Arabidopsis thaliana: one gene and its partners. The protein of the gene in region 2 interacts with the protein of the main gene of each other region in a pairwise test. Each region holds a gene or a part of one and is shown on either strand. Other genes may lie near its edges. The genes, in order: BASS2, AT1G11940, UMAMIT8 and AT3G42725.

What was found.
Region 1: the proteins of AT1G11940 (region 2) and BASS2 interact in a protein complementation assay, tested with the Arabidopsis thaliana proteins (one large-scale study listed by BioGRID).
Region 3: the proteins of AT1G11940 (region 2) and UMAMIT8 interact in a protein complementation assay, tested with the Arabidopsis thaliana proteins (one large-scale study listed by BioGRID).
Region 4: the proteins of AT1G11940 (region 2) and AT3G42725 interact in a protein complementation assay, tested with the Arabidopsis thaliana proteins (one large-scale study listed by BioGRID).

The regions. Positions count from the first base shown.
Region 1 is NC_003071.7:11,472,188-11,481,097, reverse strand, and holds BASS2 (Sodium Bile acid symporter family), read left to right. Parts: upstream 1-2,955; 5' UTR 2,956-3,227; coding exon 3,228-3,330; intron 3,331-3,403; coding exon 3,404-3,506; intron 3,507-3,576; coding exon 3,577-3,694; intron 3,695-3,787; coding exon 3,788-3,829; intron 3,830-3,911; coding exon 3,912-4,025; intron 4,026-4,107; coding exon 4,108-4,170; intron 4,171-4,588; coding exon 4,589-4,716; intron 4,717-4,806; coding exon 4,807-4,888; intron 4,889-5,120; coding exon 5,121-5,172; intron 5,173-5,259; coding exon 5,260-5,357; intron 5,358-5,447; coding exon 5,448-5,606; intron 5,607-5,697; coding exon 5,698-5,787; intron 5,788-5,864; coding exon 5,865-5,942; 3' UTR 5,943-6,346; downstream 6,347-8,910. Other genes in the region: GRV2 (DNAJ heat shock N-terminal domain-containing protein), read left to right, coding at 7,257-7,694, 8,145-8,378, 8,462-8,549, 8,635-8,843.
Region 2 is NC_003070.9:4,029,966-4,037,929, reverse strand, and holds AT1G11940 (Core-2/I-branching beta-1,6-N-acetylglucosaminyltransferase family protein), read left to right. Parts: upstream 1-3,774; 5' UTR 3,775-3,983; coding exon 3,984-4,271; intron 4,272-4,353; coding exon 4,354-4,470; intron 4,471-4,545; coding exon 4,546-4,646; intron 4,647-4,770; coding exon 4,771-4,842; intron 4,843-4,972; coding exon 4,973-5,054; intron 5,055-5,201; coding exon 5,202-5,282; intron 5,283-5,382; coding exon 5,383-5,424; coding exon of another isoform or gene 5,425-5,460; exon of another isoform or gene 5,461-5,615; coding exon 5,616-5,672; intron 5,673-5,763; coding exon 5,764-5,910; intron 5,911-5,997; coding exon 5,998-6,162; 3' UTR 6,163-6,396; downstream 6,397-7,964. Other genes in the region: AT1G11950 (Transcription factor jumonji (jmjC) domain-containing protein), read left to right, coding at 1-171, 258-373, 454-553, 664-796, 873-936, 1,022-1,718, 1,797-2,126, 2,207-2,488 and 4 more; AT1G11930 (Putative pyridoxal phosphate-dependent enzyme, YBL036C type), read right to left, coding at 7,632-7,709, 7,791-7,889.
Region 3 is NC_003075.7:9,356,356-9,363,901, forward strand, and holds UMAMIT8 (nodulin MtN21 /EamA-like transporter family protein), read right to left. Parts: upstream 3,885-7,546; 5' UTR 3,517-3,884; coding exon 3,326-3,516; intron 3,225-3,325; coding exon 3,159-3,224; intron 3,117-3,158; exon of another isoform or gene 3,017-3,116; coding exon 2,900-3,016; intron 2,805-2,899; coding exon 2,570-2,804; intron 2,467-2,569; coding exon 2,302-2,466; coding exon of another isoform or gene 2,257-2,301; exon of another isoform or gene 2,234-2,256; coding exon 2,082-2,233; intron 1,984-2,081; coding exon 1,830-1,983; 3' UTR 1,551-1,829; downstream 1-1,550. Other genes in the region: AT4G16630 (DEA(D/H)-box RNA helicase family protein), read right to left, coding at 5,821-5,836, 5,930-6,225, 6,349-6,468, 6,577-6,669, 6,753-6,854, 6,935-6,977, 7,069-7,187, 7,284-7,380 and 1 more.
Region 4 is NC_003074.8:14,841,053-14,847,403, reverse strand, and holds AT3G42725 (Putative membrane lipoprotein), read left to right. Parts: upstream 1-3,685; 5' UTR 3,686-3,713; coding exon 3,714-4,322; 3' UTR 4,323-4,555; downstream 4,556-6,351. Other genes in the region: AT3G42723 (ATP binding / aminoacyl-tRNA ligase/ nucleotide binding protein), read left to right, coding at 6,215-6,351.

The DNA of each region.
Region 1 (8,910 bases), on a different chromosome or scaffold from region 2:
TATTTTTCTAATTGAAATTTCAAATTTATGGTTTATGTACAAGAAATTGGAACCAAACAAGATAATGAACTTTAAAGAATGATAAAAACAATTTAAGGAGATCAATATCTTAATATCAGAAAATATTAGTCAATGTCATAAAAATCAGAAAATGTTAATTATATTTATGTTTGAGATAATCCAAATATTCAAAACTATATTTATAAACCAGAAAATTTAGTTATGATTAGGCTCAAAATAACTAAAATATATGAATGTACATACTTATATGTGTCTAGAGTAAATATTTTTTGCAAACTAATTCATTAGATTGAACAAATTATTTAGTTCTTTTTTCCACATAGTTTATGTACAAATATTTAATTCAAACCGAACCCAATAAAATTTGGTTATATGTCGGTCCGAACTGAGAGATAACCGAACATAGTCAAACCGTAAAATAACTACCGATCCGAACCGCATGTTTTTTGGTTCTATATGAATTCTAAACCCCTTAAAACAATTTACTCAAAATCGATCTGAGCCAAGTCGATTATCGGATGTCCACGTTAGATTTTTCCAAAAGAAAAAGAGTAGAATAAAATAGTCATTCTCACAACTAATAAATACCTACAATTTACATACTTGTTTTGTATTATTATCTTTGACATGTGTAATGGGGACAGGTATAAATGGACCGTTAGATTAGAGGGATACTAGTCTATTATATACTGTACCTATTTTGATTAATTTATTGATTCTAGCAACATTCTACTTTCTTCTCACCGAATTTTTCCTTCTACTGTTTTTTAATTAATTATAGCAATGTTTTTTTTCGAACATTTCAAACATGTATTTAGAGTGACTTGTAATCTAGAAATATCAAGATGAGCTGGAATCTTTTGAGTCAATTTGGTCTGGTCTGGTTCTATCATTTTCATTTTAGGATTAGAATTTTCAACTCATGTATTAATGGAAGTATGAAGTCAATTCTAACATGTTTAGTGGTTATTGGTTAGAATAAATTATGCATCATTATTGGTCATAAAAGATAGATAAAGTTTTTAACGAATAATAACAAAATAATTAATAGAAATGGTAAAAAAAAATAACAGTATACAAGTAGATATTAGTCTCTCTCTCTCTTTTTTTTTGTCTTTCAACAAATTGTTATGTGATTACAAATAGTTTTTTCTTTTTGTTTTCAAGAAACAGAAAATAAAAAATAATGATATACGATGACGAAGTACGGGTCTGGCCTGTTTTGATCAAAATCAGATCTACTCTTTGTTAACATTAAGAGATTGATGACTAGCCATCGGATCCATTCTCTTTGGTTTCATGGCCGATCATAGCTGATCTATTTCTTTGAATTTTAAGCTAGCATTCTATTAATGCTTTTATTTCATTGGTCCTCTCTTGTTGTAATCTCCTTTCAAACTATGTAGATAATTTTTTGTTGAATAAAATTTAACATTCCAAATTTCCAACCAAAAATCTAATATCTTAAGGTCATTTTGTTTCCTCCCGAGACCTTTCTTCACTTTAGGAGGTATTGAGACTCAATTCATCAAGCATCTAATCTAACGAGACAAATGAAATAAAAGTTTGGTTGCGGGTTGATGACTTTTGAAAGATGTGACAGTCTTGTTCTTTTCCTAAAAACTAGGAGTGGATATATCGTAAAAGTGTCTTAAGATGCCAAAGCTGAGAGAGTGAGTGTTGAACAACCTGCGTTGAATCATTGTAGTTCAACTTGTTTATATCCAACAATATTCATAGAGAGACATAACCTTATGTCATTCCATTTAGTTTGTAGAAGTAGAGAAGATTCGAACATGCATCTTTAAATAAACGAAGAATGGGAATTTAAAGAGAATGCAAAGAAAGAAAAGTAGAGTAGAGGCCAAGAAACATAAACTAGATTATACATCTCTCGACGATTCTACTTATTATTTATCTCTTAAGAAATTTATGCATATCCCCCAACAAAACCAAAAACATAAGATTTTCAAATGTAAAAATGTCGATGAAACATACAAAATTTGGCAGTGAAAGAGTGAAAATCAGCTTCGTCGGCCAAAGATTTGTCTGTCGCCAACCAAAATATTAATATTAATGGTTACAAACAAAGTATGGGGGTTTCTTGGCTGGGGCATGGTGCTAATCATTATCCAGAAAATTCAAACAAACTGTCACAGAACTCAGCACTCACATTTAATGAAAACTTTGTATTTGTTCAGTCGAATAAATTAACGTGTAGTGTTTCAAAATGTGTTAAATCAATACTTCATCATGTGATTGTCTTGATTTTATGAGTTTATCTAACTAATAAAGCTATTTTCACAGTAAAAATAGAGGCAAATCATTTGGTGGAAATAGACCATATTTTCAGCATATTTCTACATCTTGATTGACTTTTCCAACATCAATAAATATGTTTTTGCAGCACAGTTTTCAAATATAGAATTTCTGTGGTATGAACCATAGTGAATATGTGCATCTTATCCATATATAAACTAAAATGTATAAAAATATACAATCTTGTTTAACAATACAATCAGACTGTAAACAAAAAAAATTCAATAGATATGATTGATTAATACATGTGAAACTTAGGCATACGACTTTTGAGCGAACCGAACCGTTCGGTTTGGATAATTGGTTTTTCGAGTATCTAGTTAGGAGATAAGACTGCCAAATTTAACCGAACAAAAATTCGGTTTGGATCGGTTCAGTTATCAGTTAACTCAGTTCGGTAATGTGTCTCAAATCCATACAAAAATTTGGTTTGTATAGCAATTTTAAAGAATTTTGGTATTAGTTTATAAAATTGGATATGATTTGTTTATATTAGTTTAAAAAATTAGAAAAAATGGTTAAAAGATTGTTCGATTAACCGTACCTAACCAATAGGAAAAGTTACCGATCGGACCACTTCTATTAATCGACTGGTTAACCGAACACTCAAATCTCAATTAGGTTCTGTTCGAAAACACATCGGAAATGACGACAGGAAAAAAAAAAAAAAACACACACACATCGACGTAGTTGTAGTAGAATCGATCCAAAAATGTTAAGTAGATATTTTCCAGATAGGATTGTTGATGAAAGGGGCAGATGAAGAATGTGTGGCTCTCCTCTCTTTCACAACACTCCACAAAACCCTTTGTCTCCTCCTCATTTGGAGATGTCACTAACTCATCTTCTCTGATTCACCAACATCCTAAAACCCTTTTGATCAAAACATGGCTTCCATTTCCAGAATCTTACCAACAGATGGCAGATTAAGTCAATGCAGAATCAACACCTCGTGGGTTCCTTCTACAACCAGAACTCAAACTCACTTAGGTATCTATCCTTTATACTTCTCTGGTTTCAGATTTCTAAGAGTCAATTTGCTGAATCATATATTTTTCTTCAGATTTTCCCAAGTTAGTTTCTGTTAGTAACTCTGGGATAAGTTTGAGGATTCAGAATAGTAAACCTATTAGCCCTGTCTTTGCTCTTGAAGCAACTTCCTCCAGGTATTGTAATTTGGTGAATGTGTAAACAAGTTTAAGGATTTGGGTTTATTAAAAATTGTAATTTTTACAGGAGGGTTGTTTGCAAAGCTGCTGCTGGTGTGTCAGGTGACTTACCTGAGAGTACTCCTAAGGAACTTAGTCAGTATGAGAAGATTATTGAGCTTTTGACAACCCTTTTTCCACTTTGGGTACTTATGCTATACCTTTCTTTGATGAAGTTTGAAACTTTTTGTGAGTTTGATAACTGATATGGAGCAATGTGGTTTTTGTTTGTTGTGCAGGTTATTTTGGGAACACTTGTTGGCATCTTCAAGCCATCCTTGGTATGCTTTTTATGCTTCTTTGTTATTGTTTATTTACTGTAGCAATCTATGTTTTTGGGGCTTATAGATTTAAGTTTTGTAGGTTACATGGTTGGAAACAGATCTCTTTACTCTAGGTCTTGGATTTCTTATGCTTTCCATGGGTTTGACTCTTACGTTTGAAGATTTCAGAAGATGTTTACGTAATCCATGGACGGTGAGAGCCAATGAACACTGGTGTGTTTTTTCTATCTGTTAGATACAGTACCTGTTTAACGTTTAGAGTCTTTCTCCTGCAGGTGGGTGTTGGTTTTCTTGCTCAATATATGATCAAGCCAATTCTAGGTTTTCTCATTGCAATGGTATGTTTCCACTAATGTCTATCACATTTACTTCTATTTGCTTCTCTGAAATGGATGCTTATGCAATATTCTATTTTGTTTAAGATATTGGTTCTCTTCGTCCGTTTTTACTTCTATGGGCTGTATACGCTTTAGCCAAATCAAATGTTGATTGGAATATTCTTTCTTTGATTAACTTAGATCCAAGAGTCGTTGCATGTCCAAACATCACTTTTTCTTGAAACGTTTGAATCAAATATTTGCTTTCTAGTTACTGTAGAAACAATTCCTGGCATACTCACTTACTCCTTGAGGGATTTCTCTTGTAGAGAGGATTGATATGGACATATGCTATGTGCATTTGGAAACACTACATTTGGTTAACATTAATTGTTGAGCAGCCAACTAATACAAACTTTTTCTGTGTGTTTTATTTTAGACTCTTAAGCTTTCGGCACCTCTTGCGACTGGCCTTATCCTAGTCTCATGCTGCCCTGGAGGACAGGCGTCAAACGTTGCTACTTACATTTCCAAGGGGAATGTAGCGCTCTCTGTACTCATGACAACGTAATCCTTCTATTTTCACTTCTTTCTCTTTTCGTTCTTTAATTTTATTGGTCAGATTTCATATACATTATCTGTTCTTTAATTTATTAGGTGTTCAACCATTGGGGCTATTATAATGACTCCTCTTCTTACTAAGCTTCTTGCTGGTCAGCTTGTTCCCGTTGACGCTGCTGTGAGTTTTCTCTATAACTATTTTGAATCGTTTCATTCAAAATTGCATTGATAAGATACATTTCTTTTTATGTATGAAATATAAGATACATTTCACTTAGCTAAAATATGAATAATCATGGTTCAGTAAAAGTTATTGAATGATTTAAAGTAGAATGAAGCGCAAGAACTCTATTAGAATATAGTTGCAGCCCTCCACAACGAAAGCTTATGGATCCATTTTTTTACGTCAGGGACTTGCTCTTAGTACGTTCCAAGTAGTGTTGGTTCCTACCATAATTGGAGGTAAGTATGGTGCTACGTGTTTCCGGAAAAATGAATTTGTGCTTATATATCCTTAGGGACTAATGTCTTTTTCTGCATTGTGTGCAGTTCTGGCAAATGAGTTCTTTCCTAAATTTACGTCTAAGATCATAACAGTGACGCCTCTAATCGGAGTCATTCTGACTACTCTGCTCTGTGCCAGCCCTGTAAGTTCATATATCCAGATATATATATTTTTTTTATTGAATTTTGAGACTGGAATTGGTATTGATTACTACCTTATCTCTTCTGAAAAGATTGGACAAGTTGCAGATGTTTTGAAAACCCAAGGAGCTCAACTTATACTCCCGGTGGCACTCCTTCATGCTGCAGCCTTTGCTATTGGCTATTGGATTTCAAAGTTTTCTTTCGGCGAGTCCACTTCGCGTACCATTTCTATAGAATGTGGAATGCAAGTAAGTTACTTTCTCCTATACCGTAGATATACATTGCCGTTTGCTTTACTAAGGCTTCTTTTTGAAAATCTGTGTACTTTGCAAACCGCAGAGTTCAGCGCTCGGGTTCTTGCTTGCACAAAAGCATTTCACAAACCCTCTAGTTGCTGTTCCTTCTGCAGTCAGTGTTGTCTGTATGGCGGTAAGTTTTCATAGCCATTTCACTAAAGTTCACATGCAAATTCCTTAAGTTTAATTATGTTCAATGGCATTCTGCAGCTTGGCGGGAGCGGCCTGGCCGTGTTCTGGAGAAACCTACCGATTCCGGCAGATGACAAGGATGACTTCAAAGAGTAAATGAAGTAGGAAAGGCGGTTTGCATCTTCTCCAAACGATGTGATTGTTTTGTTGTAATGTTAGTAAACATTACAAAATTTGTGTTGAAAAACATGAAACAAAATGTGTTTAAGAGACATAGAAACAAGGGCGTGCATGATGACAACTTTGTGGTCAACCTTTTTTTTATTTCTCAATTAATGGACAAATCTTTTTTGGCACACCTTCTCCAAATTTTGAATCTAAGTTTCAGATTGGGATTAGCGTTGTTCCCGGAATCCTGTCTACTCTCACAATGCACTCCCTCATTTCCAGCCATGACTTCTCTTAGCTCATATACGTCTTTTGTCAGCAATGATAAGTTTTGATGTTTTTAGCATTAGGTGGTTTTGGTGAATTTTCATTTTAAATTAGATTTGAGTGTTTCCTTTTCTGATGAAAACACAACTTCCAACAATTAACATAAGTAAACATGTAAAGTTGATTGGAATGTGGCCAGTTGATCTCGGTTTCAATAAGGTGAAGAGTCTCATTGTATTTTGGTCTTTACATGATTGGAATAGTACTATGCTTCTGGAGTTCTGGTCTCAGTGTATAAATGGTGGTAAAAAATGTTTTCAGTTTACAGTAAAAAATGTTTAGCTATATTTTAACATTTCTTTTACTGTAGAATGTTTCCCATATAGATTTTCTGTTTTTTTTTTAATTAGTAATATTTTTAGTTTTCATATTTTTTTAATATACGTGCTAATTCATTTGTTGAAAGAGCCAAAGAAATAGTAATCTAGACAATTATACATTTTGACACACGTTTAATCCGCGTTAAAGGAACAGAAGAATTGATGATGATTGCATTTGCACCGGAGAGACACCGAATCAAAAATGGCCTTTAGCCTTTAACCCTCTCAAACAAAGTCGTCACACTGTAAAAACAACAGCAACAACAACAACACACAAATTCACGACTCTTTCTCTCCCAATCTCAGATCGAAAATTTGCTTCATTTCCCTCTGATCATCATCATTCACCAAATTTCGTATTCAAGAACAAATCGATCGCATTCATCTTCTCCCCGAGGTTTCTTACATACGACTAAAATTAGGGTTTAAGCTTCCCATTTTGGATCCGATTGTTGCAAAAGGACCTTCTAGCCCCGGTGGCTTTTGCTATAACCAAGTCAAAGAACTGGGGGCGAATCAGTCCCACCCCCGCCATTATCCTGGCGTTTCCGATCATTCCAGGGTAGGATTCTGGGATTTTCTACGACCTCTTCTTAATAATCCTCCTCGAAACAACACGTTACAGTTTATCGATTCCGTTGGATCTGATCGGACTATGGATTCCGTCTCTAGAGGTGCCGTTGCTTCAACAACCGGCGGTGCTGTGGAAGAGCCGGAGTATCTAGCTAGGTATCTTGTTGTTAAACATTCATGGAGAGGTCGTTATAAGAGGATCCTTTGTATTTCGAGCGGCGGAATTGTTACGCTTGATCCTAATACTCTTGCTGTTACTAATTCTTATGATACTGGAAGTAATTTTGATGGTGCTTCACCTCTGGTTGGAAGAGATGAGAACACGGAGAGTGTTGGTGGTGAGTTTACTGTCAATGTTAGAACGGATGGGAAAGGGAAATTTAAGGCTATGAAGTTCTCTTCTAGGTGCAGAGCGAGTATTTTGACCGAGTTGTATCGGCTTAGATGGAATCAAATTAGACCTGTGGCTGAGTTTCAGGTGCTACATCTTAGGAGACGGAACGCAGAATGGGTTCCTTATGTAAGTAGTTTTCTTACAGTGGCTCCATCTTCAATCTTTTATGCATGGTTTCTCTGATAGTATGATACTGTTGCTTTGGTTTTGAGGTCAAGTCGGACTAGGCTTTTAGCTGCTCAACATATTTGAAGTTTCTGATCTTTAGATAGTTTTAGCCAGAGTCTGGTATTAGGCATTAAGCTGATGTTAGTATTTTTCGATGTTTGATGTGCTCTTAAATTTTTGTAATCATGAACTAAGCAGGGGGAGTTCTTTTTGTTTCGCATGAGTAGCCTTATTCTTATTTTCTATGGGATTGATTTTAATTTTTTTCAATTTTTGTTATTGCAAGAAGCAAGAGTCATTTGAAAGTTGCGACTGGTAGTAGAAATTATTTGAGGTGCTTTTACTAACTGTTTCGAATTAGATTTTGGTATGAAGTGACTTTTTCTTTTTTCTTTTTTTCTTTTGCAGAAATTGAAGATCACCTTTGTCGGTCTGGAGCTTGTCGACTCAAAATCTGGTAATTCACGCTGGATTTTGGATTTCAGAGACATGGGTTCCCCAGCAATCATTCTTCTCTCTGATGCATACCGGACAAAATCTGCGGACTCTGCTGGGTTTGTTCTGTGTCCCATGTATGGGAGAAAGTCAAAAGCTTTTAGAGCTGCACCCGGGACAACAAATTCCTCCATTGTCGCAAGTTTGGTATAAATGATATGCTTGCACATTAGTTGAGAAGTTGGTGCTAACTTATTGTTAATCTTGATGATTGCAAATATCATTTGCAGGCTAAGACTGCAAAGTCCATGGTTGGGGTATTCTTGTCAGTCGATGATTCACAATTGCTGACAGTATCAGAGTATATGACACGAAGGGGTACTTATATTTGTGTCTTGTCTAGATCACTTTTTTATTTATGATTTCTTTATATTATTTTTGATGCCAATTATTGACTATGCAGCTAAAGAAGCAGTTGGAGCTGAAGAAACTCCTAATGGGTGGTGGTCTGTTACTAGATTAAGATCTGCTGCTCATGGAACTCTGAACATGCCTGGACTAAGCTTAGCAATTGGCCCCAAAGGAGGACTTGGTGAGCATGGGGATGCTGTAGCCCTTCAGCTTATTCTTACTAAGGCCTCCCTTGTTGAGAGACGAATAGATAACTATGAAGTAAGTTGGCAACACGGTTTTAGACACAATTTCTATCTATATTACTACTTTATGCTGCGTTCCTATT
Region 2 (7,964 bases):
AAGGCAACATCTCGAAGCAGGAGCAAGAAATCAGTCAGTGTGGATACTTGGTTGGTTAACAACGAGATTGATGTTAGCGCTTTGAGTTCGCGTTCTGAGTCTGAACTTTCGGATTCTTATCTGAAAACCGAGTACTTTAATGACTGCAGAAGCATGACAAGGAGTTTAAAGGTAGCATTTGTTCTTACACAATGAGAAAACATCATGTGATGAAACTGTATTCAACTTTTTTCTGATTTGTTTTCTTCCCTACACAGGCAAATTTGGGAGAGCTTGCAATTTGCCATCAATGCTCTAAAGGGGAAAGAAGATATCTTTTCATTTGCACCTTTTGTGAAGTGAGGTTGTATTGTTTTCCATGCATAAAGAAATGGTTAGTTTCTGTTCTTACATTTTAATGACACTGCCTATAGGTTTCAATATCGTCAATTACAATCTTATGATTTGTGACAGGTATCCCCATTTGTCCACGGATGATATCCTTGAAAAATGTCCCTTTTGCCGAGGAACTTGCAACTGCTGCACATGTTTGCACTCTAGTGGTTTAATCGAGGTATGAGTTGCATTCTTAACAAAATATGTGGTGGTTGTTTATATAGATCAAGAACCGCAAGTTCGATTTTTGTTTTGGTGTGAATAGAGATGTATCTATTTGTCTTGCAGACATCTAAGAGAAAGCTCGATAAATACGAAAGATTTTATCATCTTCGCTTCTTGATTGTGGCGATGCTTCCTTTCCTGAAAAAGTTATGCAAAGCACAAGATCAAGAAATCGAAACCGAGGCTAAGGTTCAAGGTATATATGGTTCTCCCTTTTACTACTAAGACAAGATTTTTTCTTGCTACAAGATAACATATTGATATGTTTATAGATTCAATGGCTTCTCAAGTTGATATATCCGAGAGTCTATGCTCAAATGAAGAGCGTGTCTTCTGGTAAGTATCATCCTTTTGTTGCATGTGTTTGAAGAGTTACATGACATCTATCTTATATATCACTGAAATGTCTTTGTTGCTCTAGTAACCACTGTGCAACATCAATTGTTGACTTGCATCGAAGCTGTCCAAAGTGTTCATATGAATTGTGTCTGAACTGTTGCCAAGAGATCCGTGGAGGTTGGCTTTCTGACCGCCCGGAATGTCAGCTACAATTCGAGTACAGAGGGACCCGGTATATACATGGCGAAGCTGCAGAACCGAGCTCTTCTTCTGTTTCCGAGGATGAAACTAAAACTCCATCCATCAAGTGGAATGCTGATGAAAATGGAAGCATACGGTGTGCGCCAAAAGAGCTAGGAGGTTGCGGGGACTCTGTGCTGGAGCTTAAGCGAATCTTACCAGTGACTTGGATGTCAGATTTGGAGCAAAAGGCAGAAACATTCTTAGCCTCTTATAGTATCAAACCGCCAATGTCATATTGTAGATGTTCTTCTGATATGAGTAGTATGAAGAGGAAGGCAGCTTCGAGGGACGGATCTAGTGACAATTACCTTTATTCTCCTGATTCTTTGGATGTCCTGAAGCAAGAAGAACTTCTGCATTTCCAAGAGCATTGGTCCAAAGGTGAACCAGTGATTGTTCGAAATGCTCTTAACAACACAGCTGGTTTAAGCTGGGAGCCAATGGTGATGTGGCGGGCTTTATGTGAGAATGTTGATTCAGCAATTAGCTCTAATATGTCTGATGTCAAAGCTATCGATTGTTTAGCTAATTGTGAGGTAGAAACTCATTTTCTTATAAAGTTTCTATAGCTGTATAAGAGGTTATAAAGCTCATTTTGTTTCTTGTTATTTCAGGTGAAGATAAATACTCTATGTTTCTTTGAAGGATATAGCAAAGGAAGAACATATGAAAACTTCTGGCCTGAGATGCTGAAGCTGAAGGATTGGCCTCCTTCAGACAAGTTTGAAAACCTTTTACCTCGTCACTGCGATGAGTTCATTTCCGCATTACCATTTCAAGAATACAGCGATCCTAGATCAGGAATTCTCAACATTGCTACAAAACTTCCTGAAGGACTTCTTAAACCAGATCTTGGTCCAAAAACTTATGTTGCATATGGGACTTCAGATGAGCTCGGTAGAGGAGATTCAGTCACTAAGCTTCACTGTGATATGTCAGATGCTGTAAGTTTCAGAATTGTTACTTAGTACTGTTAAATAATAATACGGTTTCTCAGGTGTATAACGGTTTTTTGTTTTTGTAGGTTAATATTCTGATGCATACTGCTGAAGTAACACTAAGTGAGGAGCAAAGGTCTGCAATTGCAGATTTGAAACAGAAACATAAGCAACAGAATGAGAAAGAGCTTCAGGAGCAAAATGGTTTAGAGGAAGAAGAGGTTGTGAGTGATGAGATTGTGGTTTATGATGAAACAAGTGGTGCACTTTGGGACATCTTTAAAAGAGAAGATGTTCCTAAGCTTGAAGAGTATCTAAGGAAGCATTGCATAGAATTCAGACATACTTATTGCTCTCGTGTTACAAAGGTAAGAAATAATCCACAAAACGTTTTCAGTTCCGAGTCTTAGAGGTTATTGTGCTGATAGGATTCTTTATGTTAGGTGTATCATCCAATACATGATCAGTCATATTTCTTAACCGTGGAGCATAAAAGAAAACTCAAGGCAGAATTTGGTATGGTTACTTGTAACTGTAGTAACTGTCACTTACCGACATTGTATTCTTACGTTTTTGTGTTTGTTTGTTTGAACTAAAGGGATTGAGCCATGGACATTTGTGCAAAAGCTAGGAGAAGCAGTGTTTATTCCAGCAGGTTGTCCTCATCAAGTTCGGAATCTCAAGGTTATTATTTGAATGGAAGCTGTCCTATTAACTAAACTTTTTCTCATTATCTTTAACTTGTATTATGGATTTTGATACAGTCGTGCACAAAGGTAGCTGTTGATTTTGTTTCCCCTGAAAACATCGATGAGTGTCTCCGTTTGACTGATGAGTTTCGACAACTCCCTAAGAACCATAAAGCCAGAGAAGACAAACTTGAGGTGATTCTTTTTCTGATATTTTCAATTTTGGATTAGCAACTTCTGTCAATGGATACAGTTTTGTTTGTAGTTGAATCTTGTTTTAATCTTTGCCATGTGAACAGATAAAAAAGATGGTGATCTATGCAGTTGAACAAGCTCTGAAAGAAGTGGAGACATTATTGCTAGATCGCAGCTAAAAGCTCTATAGCTTTGTTGTTGTAGGATTAACAGCAGATTTTGTAGAATTGTTAAAGCCATGGCTATTGTAGTTGGCTTTTGCTGTGATATATGTATGTAAAAGAGACAAGTGTCTCTTGAAAAGAATGATTTCCTTTTTTTCAAATGGGATTTTGATGTAACTTTTCCTTTTCCGGTCTGTTTTGGCATATGAATGAATATTTGATGTAAGCTTCTTTTGTATAGTTTTGTATCTTTACATCATTTTGAGAGCAAATGAAAGTTTATGATATGAGAGCATCATAGATTCATAGTAGCAAATACAATTGGTTCAGTTGTTGCTTGCAAATTTTTACTGCAGTAAATATGGATTGTTTTGTTTTCAAAGGTTTTAAAATGACTTAATACATTAATTTCCAAAGGTTTTGTTTTAAGGTATTTTTTTTTTTTTTCTAATTGTATAGAAGGAAATACAATAATTAATATTCCTAGTCAAATTGTATAATTTTCATACCATTTTCTGACAATTTCAATTTCGGACAACAATTTAATGATGTTCTAATTTAACGTGGGTCCCAACTAACTTAAAACGTGTACGTGGCTTACGACGTCGTTTACAAGTTTATACGTCGAACTATCAACATCATTCTACCTTTCTTTCTCTCTTTCTCTCAAAATCCAAAATGTTGTAATTTGCAATTCTTCAGTTTCCGTTTCTCTCCTGAGAAATTTATTGACTTCAAAAACCCTAAAAAGACTTGTGATTGTTCGTTTCTCTAACTCGAATGTTGATCGTACGACGGTGAGTGATCGTAGTACAATGACGAAGAAATCACAGCCGCAGATTCCGCCTCCATTGTCCCGTCGCGGCGGCGTCGTGTGGCTGGGATGGAAACTCGTAATCGCTTTCTCCGTCGCGCTTTGCCTTCTTGCTCTTCTTCGAATCCAACTACAGTACAATTCCTTCACGACATTGTCGTTTCCACTCTCCGTCGCGAGATCTCAGACACCGCTTCACAAATACTCCGGTGATCGTCCCAAGCTCGCTTTCCTTTTCTTAGCTCGCCGTGATCTCCCACTTGATTTTATGTGGGATAGATTCTTCAAGGTCAAAAAAGATTCTTAGTCCTATTAATACTTGTCCGTTATTCTAAATTTCGAAAAAATTGCTGATTCTGGTGATTTTGCAGGGAGTGGATCATGCGAATTTCTCAATTTATATACATTCAGTACCTGGTTTCGTGTTCAATGAAGAAACTACACGATCACAGTATTTCTATAATCGCCAATTGAACAATAGCATTAAGGTGAGTGTTCATGAGAATTTCTCCATTTGATGTTTTTTTATAGTGAAACTTAGGGTGGTGTTGTTATGGTTATAGGTAGTATGGGGAGAATCAAGCATGATTGAAGCAGAAAGATTGTTGCTTGCATCTGCTTTAGAGGATCACTCCAATCAAAGATTTGTTCTTCTCTCTGACAGGTTTGCTTCTTTCAGCATTACTCTTTCAGATCATCTTATGCCTGACCACTTATTGCATCTGACTTTGAGCACATTTGTGGTTTGTACGGACTTATTTCATTTTCATCTACTTTCTGTTTTGCAGATGTGCTCCATTATATGACTTTGGCTATATATACAAATATCTTATCTCTTCACCGAGGAGTTTTGTGGATAGGTAGATTGAAAGTCTGAATTTATGAGGTTTCTTAGTACTTCATACTTGATATATATGGCCTGATAACTGGTGTATTATAAGAGGAGTTGTCTAGATGTTGATAACTATGTTTGTTGCTCTCTATTGGCAGTTTTCTTCATACTAAAGAGACACGGTACAGTGTGAAAATGTCTCCTGTCATACCTGAAGAGAAATGGCGAAAAGGATCCCAGGTATCTTCATTTTCTTGCTTAGGAAATGAACATTGCTACCAAGATTTTTGAAGCCTGAGTTTCTTGTGAAAATTTAAGCATTAGGAGGATAGGGACCTTTTAAAGTTCATGAAGTTTTTAATCTCATCTTAGTTTTATCTATTGCAGTGGATAGCTTTGATCAGAAGTCATGCAGAGGTCATTGTAAATGATGGTATCGTATTCCCAGTTTTTAAGGAATTCTGCAAGGTAAAGATTAAGCTTTATGATCATGACTTTAATTTCAATCTTGATTCTTTGTTGCTGAAGAAACAATAACTTACTTCTTGATTTCTCTTTCGATTTGCAGAGATGTCCACCTTTAGGTACCAATGAGGCATGGTTGTTTCTTGTAAGTGCTATTTCAAAGTTGGTATTTTTCATTTAATACCAGCCTGAATGTTTATGTTGATTCTTTGTGTTGGTTTCAAAACAATCTCAACAGTGTCTTTTCTGTAGTCTATGAATACTTCTCTCCATTGATTAACCTCTTTCTTTATTAAACAAATGGGGAAACTTTTATTACGTTTGATGTGAACTCAGAAACAGAAGCGACGCAACTGCATCCCCGATGAACACTATGTGCAAACATTGCTTACGGTGACCATCATATCTGATACACATCTCTCTCATTTTTGTTTCCATCTAAAAAGTTCCATATTGTTAATGTATTACAAACTGACCATTTCAGATGCAAGGACTAGAGAGTGAAATGGAACGAAGAACAGTGACATACACTGTATGGAACGTTTCAGGTACAAAATATGAAGCCAAATCTTGGCATCCCGTCACTTTCACATTGGAAAACTCCGGCCCTGAGGAAATAAAAGAAATAAAGGTACAATCTTTTTGTTCAGAGGATTAATATCACAACCGAATGAATCCCTAAGTAATCTCTCTAGTTCTTTTGCTTTTCTCGGGACAGAAAATAGACCATGTCTATTACGAGTCTGAATCTCGAACGGAATGGTGTAAGGCGGATTCGAAACCCGTCCCATGCTTTCTCTTTGCAAGGAAGTTCACGAATGAAGCTGCTATGCGCATTGTGAGTGAAGGACTAATAGGATCATCAGCAAACAAAACCTTATAACTTTGCAACAGTGTAAGCAAGTAGGTCAAGCAACAGAGCGTATACATAGAGTAGGAATAGCATTGATACATTACAAACATCCCTCATGAGGTTTAATGGTTTATGATTATATATGACGCTTAGTAAAAACTAATAATCATTCTTCATGGATAATCTTGTGTTTGGGTGTTAAAATTTCTATGTGTATATGTCTGAAGAAACTGGCTTCGATTAATAGAATATGTTAATAGCAAATTCTACTCTGGATTGATGTCTTTTACTCATTCTCCTGGAAATTGTTAAAAAAAAACTAAAATTTTCAAGGACTCGAACACACAATAATGAAGTACATAAACACTTAACCAAAACAAACTTTTTAAACAAGTGACCTTACATTTTTCTTTATAGTTGGTAGCGTAAAGCACATGTTTTGGTTGCTTTATGGGCGGACTGGGCCTAGTTCGTCGGAATTCTAAGCTTCTTTTGCAAATCTGATGATTCCATAGAAATGAGTCAAACGACGAGCCGTTGGACGGTAGTTGAGCTCAATTGGGCCACATTTTTTGAAAAAATTTGTTCACTAAAATTAGCTTAAAAAAAACATTTTTTTAATTGGGCTACAACAATGCAATTATTCCAAATCCATAGTATTGGCATTGTCATTTTTATAAAAATCTCTCTGAATCTTTTAAGTTCAAAAATCTTAACCATTAAAAAAATTCCCAACCGACTCGAGCTAAGCCTAGCAATCATAAAAAAAGGAAAACTTCCATTAACGAAAACTTCTCATCAGAAACTCAACTCCTCCTCCTCCTCCTGCAATCTTCTTGTTTTCTCTTTAGGCTTTTATTTTCATTTGGGCTTAAAACCCATTATCCTCTCACACTAAATATTTTTAGAAAACAAAAATGCTCATACTTATTTAAAAGGAATTTTGTATATAAATGAGTGATTGTGATTAATTTTGAGATGTATGGTAATTTTTTTTTATAATATATATGGTAACTTAATGGTAACCATATAGTTAAATGCAGAGTCCAATAAAAATGATCACCTTGGGTCTGAAAAATTGAAATGATGAGAAGCTCAGTTTGAAGTTTGAACTTTGAAGCATCTGTACTATGTAGTGGATTTTGCTTTCAGTGTTTCATAACACAAAAGAAGTATTAAAATCTTAGTTAGCAGAGCTCTCAAACCAAAAGAATAGTAACAAGTGGTTGTGACACCCTTTTAACTACTTCTCACTAGTAACGTAGCAAAGACAAGATTCTTTATTCTTCTTTCATGTGTTTATATCCATGAAATTAGAAAAATAGTAATAATGTACCTTGGTTACAACTTACAAGCAACATCACCAAATACAATGCAAAACAAAAGAAGAGAGAAGATCTACATGATTTCAACATTAAAACCTAAGCTCTTATTCTTCCCTGAAACTGGTTTTGATGTTCAAACTTAGAATCAATCTCATCACTCAGTAGTTTACATCATTACTTCTTAGGATACTCTCTCGCCCCGAAAATAGTAGATCCTATTCTCACATTTGTGCTTCCCAGTTCAATCTGCAACTCACCAAACCGTAAAGAAAACTCTTTAACATTTTGAACAGAAAGAATTTTTCACTCGAATCAACAATCACAACAACTTACTGCTAGTTCAAAGTCACCAGACATCCCCATAGATAGCTCACATTGCTCCTCCGGTATTCCAAGCTCCTTACACACTTCACTTCTGCATTTCGCAAGCAACTACACTTACAATAAGAAACGAAAGTGAGCTCTTTTAAGCATCTCACGATATTACCAAACATTATAGGTTCAAAC
Region 3 (7,546 bases), on a different chromosome or scaffold from region 2:
CTGAATTTTGTTTATGATTGCAAGTTCAACAAACTTGACATTCATACTTAAATCTCTATTTAGTTTTACTTTAATTTCTACGTAATGGGTTAATGATAAGAACTATAAAATGATTACCATTGGTTCAATGATAGTATAGTATTCTGATTTAATTACCAATAATACAGATGATACTAATAAATGTGATAGCTTCTCCGATTCGAAAAACTTACTTATGTGTTTTGGTTATCCAAAACAAGTTGGTTTATACTTTCTAAGCAATTAGAAGTTACATAATTATTTGTCGTATTAACTATAGTAACAGTTCTTGTTTTGGTTCATACAAAACATGTGGATGTCAAAACAGTAAATATGACTACTAATAAAAAAAAACTAATACTTTTTTAACAGAGGAAAATACCATGTATTAAAAATGTTATTTCTTTGATAAAGTGTATGAAAGATGTTGCATAGTCACACAGACGTAGCAGTAGTCAAGAATCCATTAAATTGATAATATACCTTTGGTAATCATGGTTTTATTGAAAAGGTGACAAAGAATACATATGTTAACATTACCAGCAAGGATTTGAATTTGAGTTGTTGGAACTTTAATACATAGTTGAGTAAAGAAGAGGCTTACACAATGGAATCTATCGTGTTAACTACTTAGCTTTGCTTCAATCTCAATTTTCAGTAACTACGTAACTCTTCAGATGCAAACAAAAAAATCTCTGTTCAGTGTTTAATATTAGTTAACTTTTCATCCAAATAAATATATTAATTGACTATAAGAAAGAAATCGTGGAAACCTCTTGGTCTAATGGTTGACCAAAAGTTCATTAATGCTTTTACATCCAGAAGTCTAATGTTCCAGTTCCAGCTACTGCGATTTATTAGCAAATTTGCAGATTAATGGAAGCACGTATGCATGATATCTACAACGAAGTACAATTATAGTCGTTCGCCAAGATTTTATGTAGAGAAGATATTGAAGGTATCCATCAAGCGCATGGAGAAAGAGAAGAAGATATCGACATTGATGGAGGAATTGTAATCCTTCTTTTGTCCCCAACACACATGCCTGTGAAATTTTTAAAACTTGAGAGCAATACACCATTTGAAACAAAGTGATGAAAACCTTTAGGAGGACGAAACTAAGTTACCATTTAAGCCAACATCCCATCCCTTAATGACTTTACCATGACCTGCATGTAACAACAACTTCATAAGTATCACGTACCAATCACATAACTCCATCCCTTAATTGCCATATCACATAAGTATTAAAAGGTGCTTTTCCAATGGTGGAATCGAAGATCTTCCCGTTCTCTTGAAGCTTTCCGATATAGCGGACACTAACCTGCTTGGTCATCTGCTATGTAATGACAATTCTATAAATACCCTGACTTGCGTTTTTTTGTTTCTACCTTGTTTGTCATTATCTAACTCCATCTCCACACCTGACTTATACTCTGGCTCAGCTTTTCTTTGGGAATAGGAAAACAGTCTTTGGCGTGTATTTGCTTAGTTCCATTCGCATTCTCATATTAGGTAGGTTTATCTTCATCTTCTAACTCAACGGTAATTTTTATTTATATATAAATATACCTTCACATTGAACAACTTTTTACATAACATCGTTTAGGCCCTTTTTCTTCGCCCTGTATGTATGTGATGTTTTTTTTATATCCAACTATTTTAGTATCACACACGAACATATACTGTAGTCTACAGCCTACTACATGTATATCTAACCGAATTATCTGTAAAGTAAAATTGTCTTACTTCTTTAAACCTAAACTAAATTCACAAGAACATTAAGAAGAAGAAAAAAAAAAGACTTTGAACTAAAGCAAGAGAGGCTTCTGAAGATCAAACTCTGTTCTAAGCAAACTTTCTTCATCATCTTGTTTCATTTCATCTATTTCTTCACAATCCTCTTTTCCTTTAGCCCACAGAACGAAGTAGAGTCCTCCGAACATCAACGCCATTCCCGCAAAGCTAATTTGACAGAGAAAAACAAACAAGAAAGAAGATAAATGACTTCTCTTTCTGTCTAAAAGATCATACAATGAATGCGAAAAGCTGCAAAAATGTACCTTCCTAGGTTGAAACTCTCTTCCATGGTAAAAGCAGAGACAACAACACATACCACAGTTGCAATTGGACTAAAGAGAGACACAATCACTGGTCCTTTCCTCTTAATCACCCATGCATTGAAGCTTAACCCTCCTCCACTCACCAACCCTCCCTAGAAAAAAAACAAAAACATTTTCAACACATCCAAATGTTGCCAACCATATATGATTTATGACGTACCAGTATTGCGTATCCCACAAGGTGGCCGAGACCGATTACTGATGCACTTCCCATTTCCATACTTCCCTTAAGAGCATACTGCAAAGCTACTGTGGTGATCCCACCCATCAAAGATACCATCGAGAACATTGATATAGGCGCCGGAAACTCGGCTAGTATGGATGCCTAATTAGGACGATCAAAGTGATTTCACAAGCAAAGAATCAGATTAATTAGCACAACCGGATATATGATAGCTCTAGGGCTAAGAAGGGGTATAAGGTGAAACCTGAAGGACAATACTAGAGGACAAGCCGCAAATGGCAAGGAGGAGATAGAGGCAACCTAAGATCTTGTCCTTGTCCACAACGACTTCGTCAGGGACAATAGGTATAGTCTTAACCGAGCTTAAAGTAGCGGTAGTACTGTGCATTAAGCTCATAATGAGAGCTCCCATCACACACAACACTGTCCCTCCCATCTTAACTCTACTATACATACAACTTAGCTTCACTTTCTCCATCCTTAACAATTACAATTTATTCAAATAACACATTAATGAAAGCTCTAATCTTCAAACACTAAACAGATTAGATTAACACAAAAGTAAAAGATTTACCCAGCAGCCCAAGCAATGACAAAAATGAAAGCAGGGCAGAGATTAGGCATAGCTGTAGCCATTGAAGCAGAGGTGTGTTTCATTCCTTCCAAGAATAACCCCTGGAACAGAGTCACTCTGTTTCAAACACAACTTCTCTCTTAATTAATCCCTTGTTATGAATTTTTAATTCTTCTCCTTCTCTTTAACGTATAGAAGAAGCAAGGTAAGCATCTATTAATCAAAACATGCAGAAATAAATAAAAAGAGGAGTTTTTACCCAGCAAGAGCAACCAAAACTAGTTTTATCTTCAACTTGAAACTTAGACTTCTAGGCCAAAGCTTCCTACAAATACACACCACAAAAATCCAAATTTTTATTAGAAAAAGAATGTAGAATAAAGTTCGAAACAGAGATTTTGTAAATTAAAAGAAAGAAGAAGATACCTTTCAAGGAGAAAAGCGAGAGGGGTGATGAGAAGAACTGATGCAAAGGTGCATAAGATAACGATAAGAAGTGGGTCAATTCCGAGAGACAGCAACTGACTCAGTAGCTCCGAGTTTCCGGCGTAAATCACCTGAGCTCCGGCCAATCCTCCGATTATTCCTGCTTCTATTAACGTCTCTCTCTTCATCATTTTTTCAACACAAAAAAAACACGAAGAAAATAAAAAGAATAATAACGGACAAATCAGTTGGAACCCATTTGGTAACCGAACAGAAGGATTCGATTTTGTGGGGGAACTAAAAAAGCAGAGAAACACTAATTAAGTTTTTGGTTTTGTTGTTGTTGATAAATGAAAATAGAAAAGATGCTTTGTTTGTGATCTCTCTTTTTGGTAATGTGTAATGCTTGAAGTTGAAACTTTCTCTATCTTTCACTTCTTGCTTTTAAAGACATGTGTCCATTACATTGCATTGGTTTTATTATGGAGTGTCTCGCCATTATAGCTTTTTGGGGAAGCGCAGATTTTAATTTATTTTTAGTCTAAAACGGTGATTATTTTTATAACACATAGAGTCCTCAAATTTTGGTGCAATGGATTTAATATGTATGAAATAAGACAAAACAAAAATTTGAGAGCGGTTAGCTTAATTTGTTAAGAAATAAATATTTCGGTGAGTCTGATATTTCTTAAATAGAACAAATAAATAAATAAATAAAATTCGCCAAATCGGCTAGGCAAAAATTTAAGATTATTCAAATTGTCAAGATTTTTATTTGGGAAGTTGCCACTATATTAATAAAATTTGGAATATAAAACCATAGTTTTGATTGGTAAAATAACGTAATAAAAATAGCAAAATTATAAAACAAGATTCTATTTATTTAAGACTAAAGAATAATATGTTTATTTTGTCAGTAAAGTCATTTAAAAAAAGGTGGAATGATCGATCATAAATCGCCCTCACACAAATTTATGTTAAAGATGAAATTCTGTACTACAGTGAAGTTTAAAAACATGCAGAGTATGAAAAAGAAAGATAAACCAAAAAGAAAGGAGAAGAAGGAAAAAAAGACAGATGCAATAAACTCCGTCAGATTCGGGGACCTTGGCCTTTTCTCGGGGGAGTAACAAAAATATTTATCAGTGTTCTTCTTTTGTTTGTATTCTTATTTTTGGATATATAATACGACATCTTACCATCTTCTCCTTTATTCGTTTTACGTATCTGACTATCTGTTCACTCTTTACTTCCTTCTTTTTTTCTTGCATGCAAATATGGAATGTCTTCATATTTGTATTTGTCACAGTCTCACAGATAAATCATATGTGTATGCCATGTGCCTACCTACCTATAATCATTTTTATTGGTAAAAAAAGCTTCCTATTCTAATATCCTTGTTAATGCTAATGAGATGGTTTAGTGATCTGTTTTCATACCGAAATGTTTTAGTTATTTAACCCAAAACACCAAAGGATGGTTTAGTGATTCGTTTTCACACCGAAATAGTTTTATGATCAAAATATTTTCTAGGGATCAGTTTTAACTAGAAAACTAGACTAGAGTCTATAACGAATTAGTTATTTTATAATAAATGATGTGCCTATGAAAGATTTTTAATTGGAGATGTATAATATTGGAGATGTTGTGTGGAGTGTAAAATATGGTAGGTGAAGCGTAAGATAAGAAAAAATGAGGAGTGTAAGAAAGAAAAGAGCAAAAGTGGGGATGCTTACACGTCAACAATCCTCAGTCTCTTTTCCAATGACTTGTGAAGCGTGTTATCGTCTCTCTTTTCTCCCCCTCTTTTTTTCCCAACAAATATAATATGCGATCTATCTAAATATATTAAGTTAAGAGTTTAATCTTTATCCACATACATTTTTTTCTTTTGTAACATCTGTTATCCATATCATGAAAATTTAATGCGTTTAAAAGCTTAGAAACATTTCACGCTGACCAAAAAAAAGAAAAGTTCACGCTCAAAACACTTAAGACTTAGTTTTATAGACCCTAACTAGTATCAAAACCCCTTGGTGTGAAATAAAAGGCATCTTGAATATGCAGAAACTCATATTAGCTCCTAAACCGGTTCAAAACATTCTAATGACTAATGAGTTGTGCCACGTACGAACAGACAAAAGGTTACAGTCTCAAGTTCTGAAGTCTGTGAACATACATAGTCTTCTCACGTGCCCACGCGTCTACAACTACAACCGTCGCCAACTCACGTGACTTTTTACCTCTTCTTTTTTTTTTTAATTTTTTTTTAAACCACTTTTTGCTTCTTCATACTACGAATAATCATGGTAAAGCTTTATGAAAGATTATAAAAACCATAGGACAAAGAAAACAAAATTTCGAACATCTTAACCAGTTTTGTTCTAAATTATGATATTACAACAATAATTTAAATTGTTTAAACCCTTCTCAATGAAATGTCCTTCTTCTCGTGGGATTGTCCTTCGATATCTTCTCAAAAATGCTTTTTCCTTTTACCTACGCTTATATCTGCACGATAAAAGTAGAAAATACCGAGTTAAACCAACAAATTACAATTTATGTTACTGGTAAATTTCATGTTTATGATGAAATGTTTCTTACCTGGCTTTGCTCTTGAATGAGTTCTTCGACTTCGTCCGAGGTTTTGCTGCAGCCGCGGCACCGCCTCTGCCCTGTTTCTTCTCGCCCATATCACTCTTGAACAGATCTTTCATCTCTTCACCACGAGGCTGGTTTCTTGGTTTACTCCGGCTTTGTTTCTTGTCCGGCTTTGGTCTCTCCATCTTACCGGAATCAATTGCTCTCTGTTTTGCTTTCACCGCTTTTGCTCTCATGTAACCAAGATCCTTTAGTGTCAATCCCTTCTTATCTGTCTCCTGTTTTTTCTTGTCTTTCCCCTGAAAAAAAACACACATTTAAAATCAATACAATGTTTGTCATCCCGGCGAGAGAGAGAGAGAGAGAGAGAGAGAGAGAGAGAGAGAGAGAGAGAGAGTGATGTGTATCTCTGAAATACTTACTCTTGATCTTCCTCTCTTTTCGTCTCCTTCTTCGTCTTCTTCCTCTTCTTCTCCTTCGTTATCTTCTAGCATCTCTCTGGCAGCTTCTAGCTTTCTACGTTTTTTCCTAGGAAGATTCTTCTGTACTTGCATGGTCAAGAGAATTGTAAGTTCTCTAGGAAGAAGCAATCAACACTAAACTAGAACGATAATGCAACTGAATAGTGAAGAGCTTCTTGATAAACAGACCTCGCGTTCACGTTTTCTCTTCTCCTTCATCTTGAGGTCCTCTGCTCTATCAGCACTAACTAGTTCGCCTCCAGCAGGGTTCCCTGCAGAATCCTATTCAGAGAAAGTATAAAGAATGATTCAGACAAGTGTATCCCTCTCTCTACAACAACAACCTCAGGAAATTAAAAGAACACCTTTTCAGCCTGTGCCACGAGCTTCTTCTCCTTCTCTGTCATGAACCAAGTCCTTTTTGGGCGTGCATATATTTCATCTCTGTGCTCAAGCATGTTCTCCGCCTGCAGAAACAAGCCCATAATCACGAATTTGAAATTATTCCCACAATAATTGAACAAAGACAAGAACCAAAGCTGCCTACCTTTGCAAATTCCATTTCAGCTTTCCTTAGAGCTCGCTCATCCCTGAAATTGATGAAAACACCTCAAAGCTTAAGTATACAGATCAACCAATTCTCCTGGGATACCATAATTCTTTGATGAGTGTGAATGAAACCTCTCTGCTGAAATAACAGCGGAATATTGATCTTCCATTTCATCGATTATCTGAGACCACTTGACGATTGACTGCTCTGGGATGACTCGGCTCTTCAACTTTGAACCCACCTTCTTTGCCTTTAAACAAAGAAACAAAGTCGATTCAAATGTCTAAACAAAGCGATAATGAATTGGGTAAAAGCAAGATCCATGTATGTCTGATGATTCACTTACAATGACTTTCAAAAGGGATCGGTCACTATCAGTCACAAACGTTACAGCATAACCTTCCCTTCCAGCCCTAGCTGTTCTACCAACTCTGTGAACATAACTGCAAAATCAAAGGAAAACATATTGTCCTCACATCAGTTAAAGAGAACAAAACTAGTAGCTTTTTAATTTAATCATAATACAGGAAATATATCTTGTTTACCTGTCTATTTCCCGAGGACAAGCATAATTTATAACTGTTTGAACACCAATGATGTCAAGTCCCT
Region 4 (6,351 bases), on a different chromosome or scaffold from region 2:
TTCGGCTTTGAAGGTTTTCTTCTTCCGCCGACAGTAGTGGTATGTACTCCAGGGACATCCAAATCTTCCTCTTTGGAATTACAGCCAACAGAAAGCGCAGGAGTGTCCACATCATGAGAAACACGGGTCAGCCTTGAAGACTTTCTCGTTCCAGTGCTTCCTTTTGTAGACATCCTTCTCGATGGCTTCTTCGCAGTAACCGGTGCCTTATCCATAGAAGTAGGTGGTTCCCGCGAATCATGGGAAGGTATGGTTTGTTTTGGCCTTTTGCCTTTTGGATCAAGGGCAGCACGTATCTGCTCACGGACAAAGTCTTTCATATCTTCTTGCATTTGATACATTTGGTCTTCCAGCTTCTTGAAAGACCTCCTCATTTCAACAATAAACTTCTCAGGCACAGCCTCTCCAAAACAATCCTCAGCATTTTCTTCATTATCACAGTCCATTTCAGATTTCTGTTTTTTCATAGCAGGTTCTTTAGGGCTCGGGCCCGGTGCATTTCGTTTCCTCTTAACATCTACAATAGACCAGTTGCTGCTATTAATTGGTTTTCTTCTGGGTGAAATAACAAAAAAATTTGTAACCAACCTTTATACTTATACTTACCTATCTCTTCTTGTTGTGGTGGTCGCACCTGCTTTGGTACTCTAGCATAGCCTCCAACCCATTCATCCTCCTGCCACTGGTGCCCATCTATCAACAGTGCCTCAATGTAATCAACCCTTGGATCATCAACTTCATCATCCCATGAAAGAGATGGAGGACAAACACTATCAGCTGGTTTCACAATATAGTTGACCTCAACCTACACAAATAAGTATGTTAACCATAGATAATGTACATTTACTTATTATGTACGTACATACACAATTTAACACACCTCATCAGCAGCCTCACACTCCAAAAAACGAGATGTCCGGATTGCCCGCAGTGAGGCAAGACGATGGATAGACCTCTCAGCAAATGTCCTGTTAGGTACATCATCAGGTCCTAGCTTAGCAATTGATGGGATTGTTTCGAAAGCTAAAAGATGGAGAGCTAATGGGAAGCCATGTAGTGCATAAGACCCTACCAGTAAACCCCTTATTAGTTGTTGAGCATCGTAAGGAGTTTGGAATTTTGCTATCCTCCCCAAAGTACGGGTAAAGGACACCCTTCCCCATGGGTATTTGCAGAAGAACTCCAGGTTCTTCGTCATCTCGACAGTCTTCGAAGTAGCCCTGTTGGGGTTACTGTGGGCCGCTACCACACCGTCTACCAAAATAATAAGAGATAGTGCCAGTTGCTTCCACCCCTCCATGCTTTCCTCCTCCTGCAGCCAGCTCACCAAATCAGCAATTGTTGGAACCGTGTCCCCAAACCTCTCATCGAACAGAGTCTTCCAAACACTCTCACACTCAGGTTTCACACTGATAACATCCTCCACGTCTTTCTTCTTGGGATACTTCCCACATTCCAGCCCAGTTAGGATACTAAATTCTCTTAATCCAAATCTGATTGGATGACCACCGAATACAATCCACATCTCATTCACCTTCTTTGTCACTAACTGACAGCATATTAGTCCAAGGACAAGCTTAGCATTGAAAGATGCCTTGTTTTTGGGTATTTTAAAAAGTTCCCCAAATGGAGAATCGAGAAGAAACTGCATCTCTGGTTTCCCCTTTAGTACATTTGCTATGTTAGAAATGTACTCCGGTTTAGAGTACGCGTTCATCTTTGTCTCGGAAGGGTACCGGTCTATAGCAAAGAGTCTTGGTGGTAACTCTTCAACTGTAAGATCTTCAATCGGAGCAACACTTGGACTACCTGCAATTAAACGTGATATATTGTTAAGCAAACCGAAGTAGTGTACGTACACAGACATTTTCCAGATTATAACTCAAAATCATATTTTTGGCGGAAACAGAGATTTCCAATTCTACTTCTCAATTTTTCATCCTAAAGATATGCTAAATTCCGACTAGTTCTAACCCTTTAATCAAACAAGCTTTACAATTCTGATACACCCAAAGAAAACAAACGGTAAATTAGAGATTCTAACCCAGTTCCTCCGTTGCCTTTGTCGCAGAGCGTTTTCTCTGCGGGGAAACTCTTAATACCCGCTTCTCCTTCCCTGGACCATGCTGCTTCCTCGGGACTTCTTCGTTTGCTTTATTCCCAGCCATAGCTAAAGTTGCTATCTCGCCGGAGGTTCAAATTTCGTCGGAATAAACAGTAACTTTTTCTTGGCTTCGCCGGGAAAAACAGTAACTTTCTCTTCCCCGGATGTGGGAGTTCAGTGACTCAATTCAACTACCCAACAATTCGAAGTTATGTCGAATTTTGAAACAATGGATACTGAATTTCGTTTCGCTTTCTAATTCTCTCTCAAATCTCTCCGTTACTCTCTTCTCTTTTTCTTTTTCTTCGGTTTCTTCGTTTCAGTTTTTTTGTTTTGTCTTTTTCAAAACTGAACCGCATCAACTAAACCGAAACCAACTGCTGTAGGGTTTGGTTTATGCCATCAACTGAACCGATACGAACTGCTGCACGGTTTGGTTTGTGCCATTATTAAGTTTTCCCAAGGTAATTTGGTCCGAAATTGAATGAAAAGACAAACCGTAAAAACCAGTTCTCACTTTGACAAACGGTGAGAGCAAATCTTTTTTCGTCCACTTCTGTAAATTTTTTTTTAATGGTTAGTTTGCTTTTAATATTAAAATATTAAATATATTGGTTTTGAGACACTAAAAAAATAATTATGCAATGAGAATGCTCTAATGGTCTAATCTATGGTTTTCCGTTGATTAATACAAACCTTATTTTTTATTACTTGTGTCAAATTTCACCGTCCTATTTTTGGTGTCTTCAAACATCTTTGTTTTATGTTTACCTTTTTTGTTTTAATTATATTATTAAAGATTGTGTCTTGGTTTGAAGGAAAGAAAAATCTTTAGATGCATATTCTATTGTTTTTAAGCTCTTAATTTTTTATTAGAGTTTCAATTGGCTTAACTACAGTGACAAATAAAAGAATTAATGATCGATTGTGTTTCGACGATGATTTTTTTACCGAAATATATACCCAACGACCAAGGTTGATCTTGGAAATCGTACGATTACTCATCGAACACATGTTGTTTTGCACGCAGTTGTTGACACGTGGGTTTGGATGGAGTCAAGACACAATTTCTTTTGCAGTTAAACAGTAATCTTATAAGCTCATATTGTACCTCAATATTTTTATAATCTTTTTTGGGATTTTTGGTATAGTCTATGTATATGTAAATAAAATATTAAAATATTGCAATTGAGAAAGAAGAAAAATTTAAATATTTTAGATGCTTAAAAAATACAATTGACATAAAAGAGTATTTTATGGACAACATGAAATATATCAAAAATAATAATCCTTTTCAAATTTCTATTCGAGTAGCAATTTAGTTTTAGGTCTTTGAGAAGAAAAGAAAAAAAAAAGCAATTTAGTTTCAGGCATTTATGTAAACAATAATGATAAAATAGTATTACTAATTCAAATATATACGACCGTCATTTTCGTGAGGCTAAAGGTCAAAAATCTATTACAATACTTTTGTGAAGCCCATTATGTCAATATAACCGTTAAACCTCATCATAGCCGTTACATCTTCTCCCCAACGGGCGCTTAGTTTCTTACTTTACCTATATAAAACTTGAAACAAACAAAAAAAACATAATTTCACAAAACATCAATGGCTTCTTTTCACAGAAAGTTATGTTTGTTCCAAAACATTCTCGTATCGTGTCTGAATTTCACTCTCCTCCTCCTCTCCCTCTGTTCTTTCGTACCAATCATTCTTCTTAGAAACCCTCCAACTTCACTCGGTTTAGCCTTCCTCGCAGTCTCACTCGTCTCTCTGATCTCCTCTTTCGGTAGTGCCTCTTCGCACCAATCTCGATCATGTTTCATCGCGCGGATAACGCTTCATGTTTCCTCACTGACGGGTCAGTTTATTGCAGTTTTAATGTTGTTTAGTAGAGAGAAACAGAGTCTTTCTTTGCTGATATCGACTCGAGACCCTAGAGAGGCTAAAGCTTTGGTTAGAGTAGAATGTGGTGTTTTCGTGGCGATGATTCCGTTACAGATAATGGTTCTAGTGCTGGCTTGTTTGTTACATTGTTATTGGGTTAGAGAGTTCGAAGGGTTAGATGTTGAGAGTGAAGATTCTTTTAGAAGAAAATGTAACCGAAGAGTCTCGACCGCTGAAGATGGGACTAGTTCGGATTTAAAGAAAATGGAGTTGGACGAGAAGATGAATGTGAAACATGTTCAGTGGGTTAAAACAGATTTCGAAGGTTAAAGTGTTTTTATGAATCTATAGTTTGTGATTATTGTTCAAACTTCAAAGTTATATTTTATGTCTTAGTTAAGAAAATTATTTATTTGCTGTTACAAAACTTTGTTAGGTTTTCTACAATGTTGTAAGTAATATGTATGGCTACTTGAATTGTCCTAGTAATGGTTGATCTTGTATTTTTTTCTCTCGTACATCCACCATTAGTGGGTAATTTACATACATACACTAGTACAAAGATGCATGTATTTATTTTGCATTCTTTCATAACCATAAGAAAGATGTCTTAATATCATCATACTACGATCCATTAGCTGTTCCTAAGATCTCAGAGATTCAAAGCAAATTATTCGGCTCAACGATCAAACACATCCTAATGTAAAAAGAAGAAGAACCAAAAACAACCTAATCCAAAAGGGAAAAGCACCAAAAACCTAACTAGAAACTCTTTAAGACTGGACTCGGGTTTTGGAAACCTCTACGGTTGTATGTGATACCGTATCTCGTATCAATATCTTGACCTTGGGTGAGGTGGTGGCAAGCTTCAACAGGTTCTTCAATATCTTGAGCTTGGGTGAAGCGGTGGCAAGCTTCAACAGATTCTTCAATATCTTGAGCTTGGGTGAAGCGGTGGCAAGTTCCAATAGATCCTTTGTGAGTTGCACCTTTTGGGGGTCATCCATTGGAGATGACAACTTTCACAACTTCAAGACACTCCATTTCCAGTAAGAAATGGCTAATCTGTTTCAGCACGTGTGCACTTCCTTGATAATGCATGATACTCAATATCTTTACTTGGTTATTTGTGGGAATATGAATCCCCACAAACCGATTTCTTTTAAATATGTAACGATGCAGACCCTGAAACATCAAGAAGAGACACTACTTTAATGTAATGCCAGTCATATTATTAAGTAAGATTTCTTAAGGGTTTGCTTCGTACCGAGAGAACCAGAGTTTTAGGTTTGGAGAACGCTCAGCATAAGTGGCAGAAGCTTCCTAAAACATTTTTTTTAACACGAAAACAATAACTCAAGGAGGTTGTTGACAACAGGTAGTCCACCTTTGCAGCATACTAAAATCACCTGAAATATACACACAAAGAATATTTTTCTTGTTTATAGGCAAAAGATGATGAGAGCATACACTAAAACTGACCTCGACAGCAGAAGAAGTCAGGTGCAGGGTCTTGACGTTGCGTATCCCGCTGATGAGATTCCACATCCCCGTAAACCAGCAGCCCATTTGATTTTTTTGCGAAAGTAATGTCCAGTGTAACTTTGGCAAGTGAATCCAAATTACAATGCAGAGACCCCGGCAGAGTATAATCAGAGTAGTGGAGGTCGACAACGCTCAGTGTGTCAAGTGTAATAATCCAAGAATACGCGGCATAATTATGTTGATATTAGACAACAGACTGCTGGATATGACTTGTGGTGTTTTTGAATGATACCTCTGATGTTAAGTCCTCAAGTGCAGAGCAAGCAGCGAGAACCTTTAGCGCTGGGAGAGATATATCGAAAGGAAAGCTTGACATGCAACATTCTCTTCCCAATGACAACTTAACGAGTGTTGTATTGGTGAAGATTTTAGATGGGAGATCAAGGTACCTGATAGATTATGATTTGGGCCTAATGGGCTGTCGTTTATGGCTTATTGTTTAAAGCCTATTTTCTTTAGTTCTTCTATTTAACATTAGCTTTTGTTTCTGAAACACTTATCGATTATGAACAAAGAAAAGTTTATCTTCTTCATCTCATCTCTTCTTCTTCCTTTCCTTCTCTGAATCTTCTGCTTCCCATCTCTAATTCTTCTACTATCTCATCTCCTTTCTATTACTTAACTTGATAGCCCATTTTGGGTCTTATCAATTGGTGCTTTCATTGAGAGTTGAAATCATGGCTACTCAAGCTGCTCAAGCCATCACAGTCACAGATCTTGAAGCAATACTTGATCGATTCGTTGAGAAGTTAGAAGAGAAGCTCGATTCCGTCGTCCAAAGGCTCCAAGCACAACAAGAGGAGTATCGACGAGG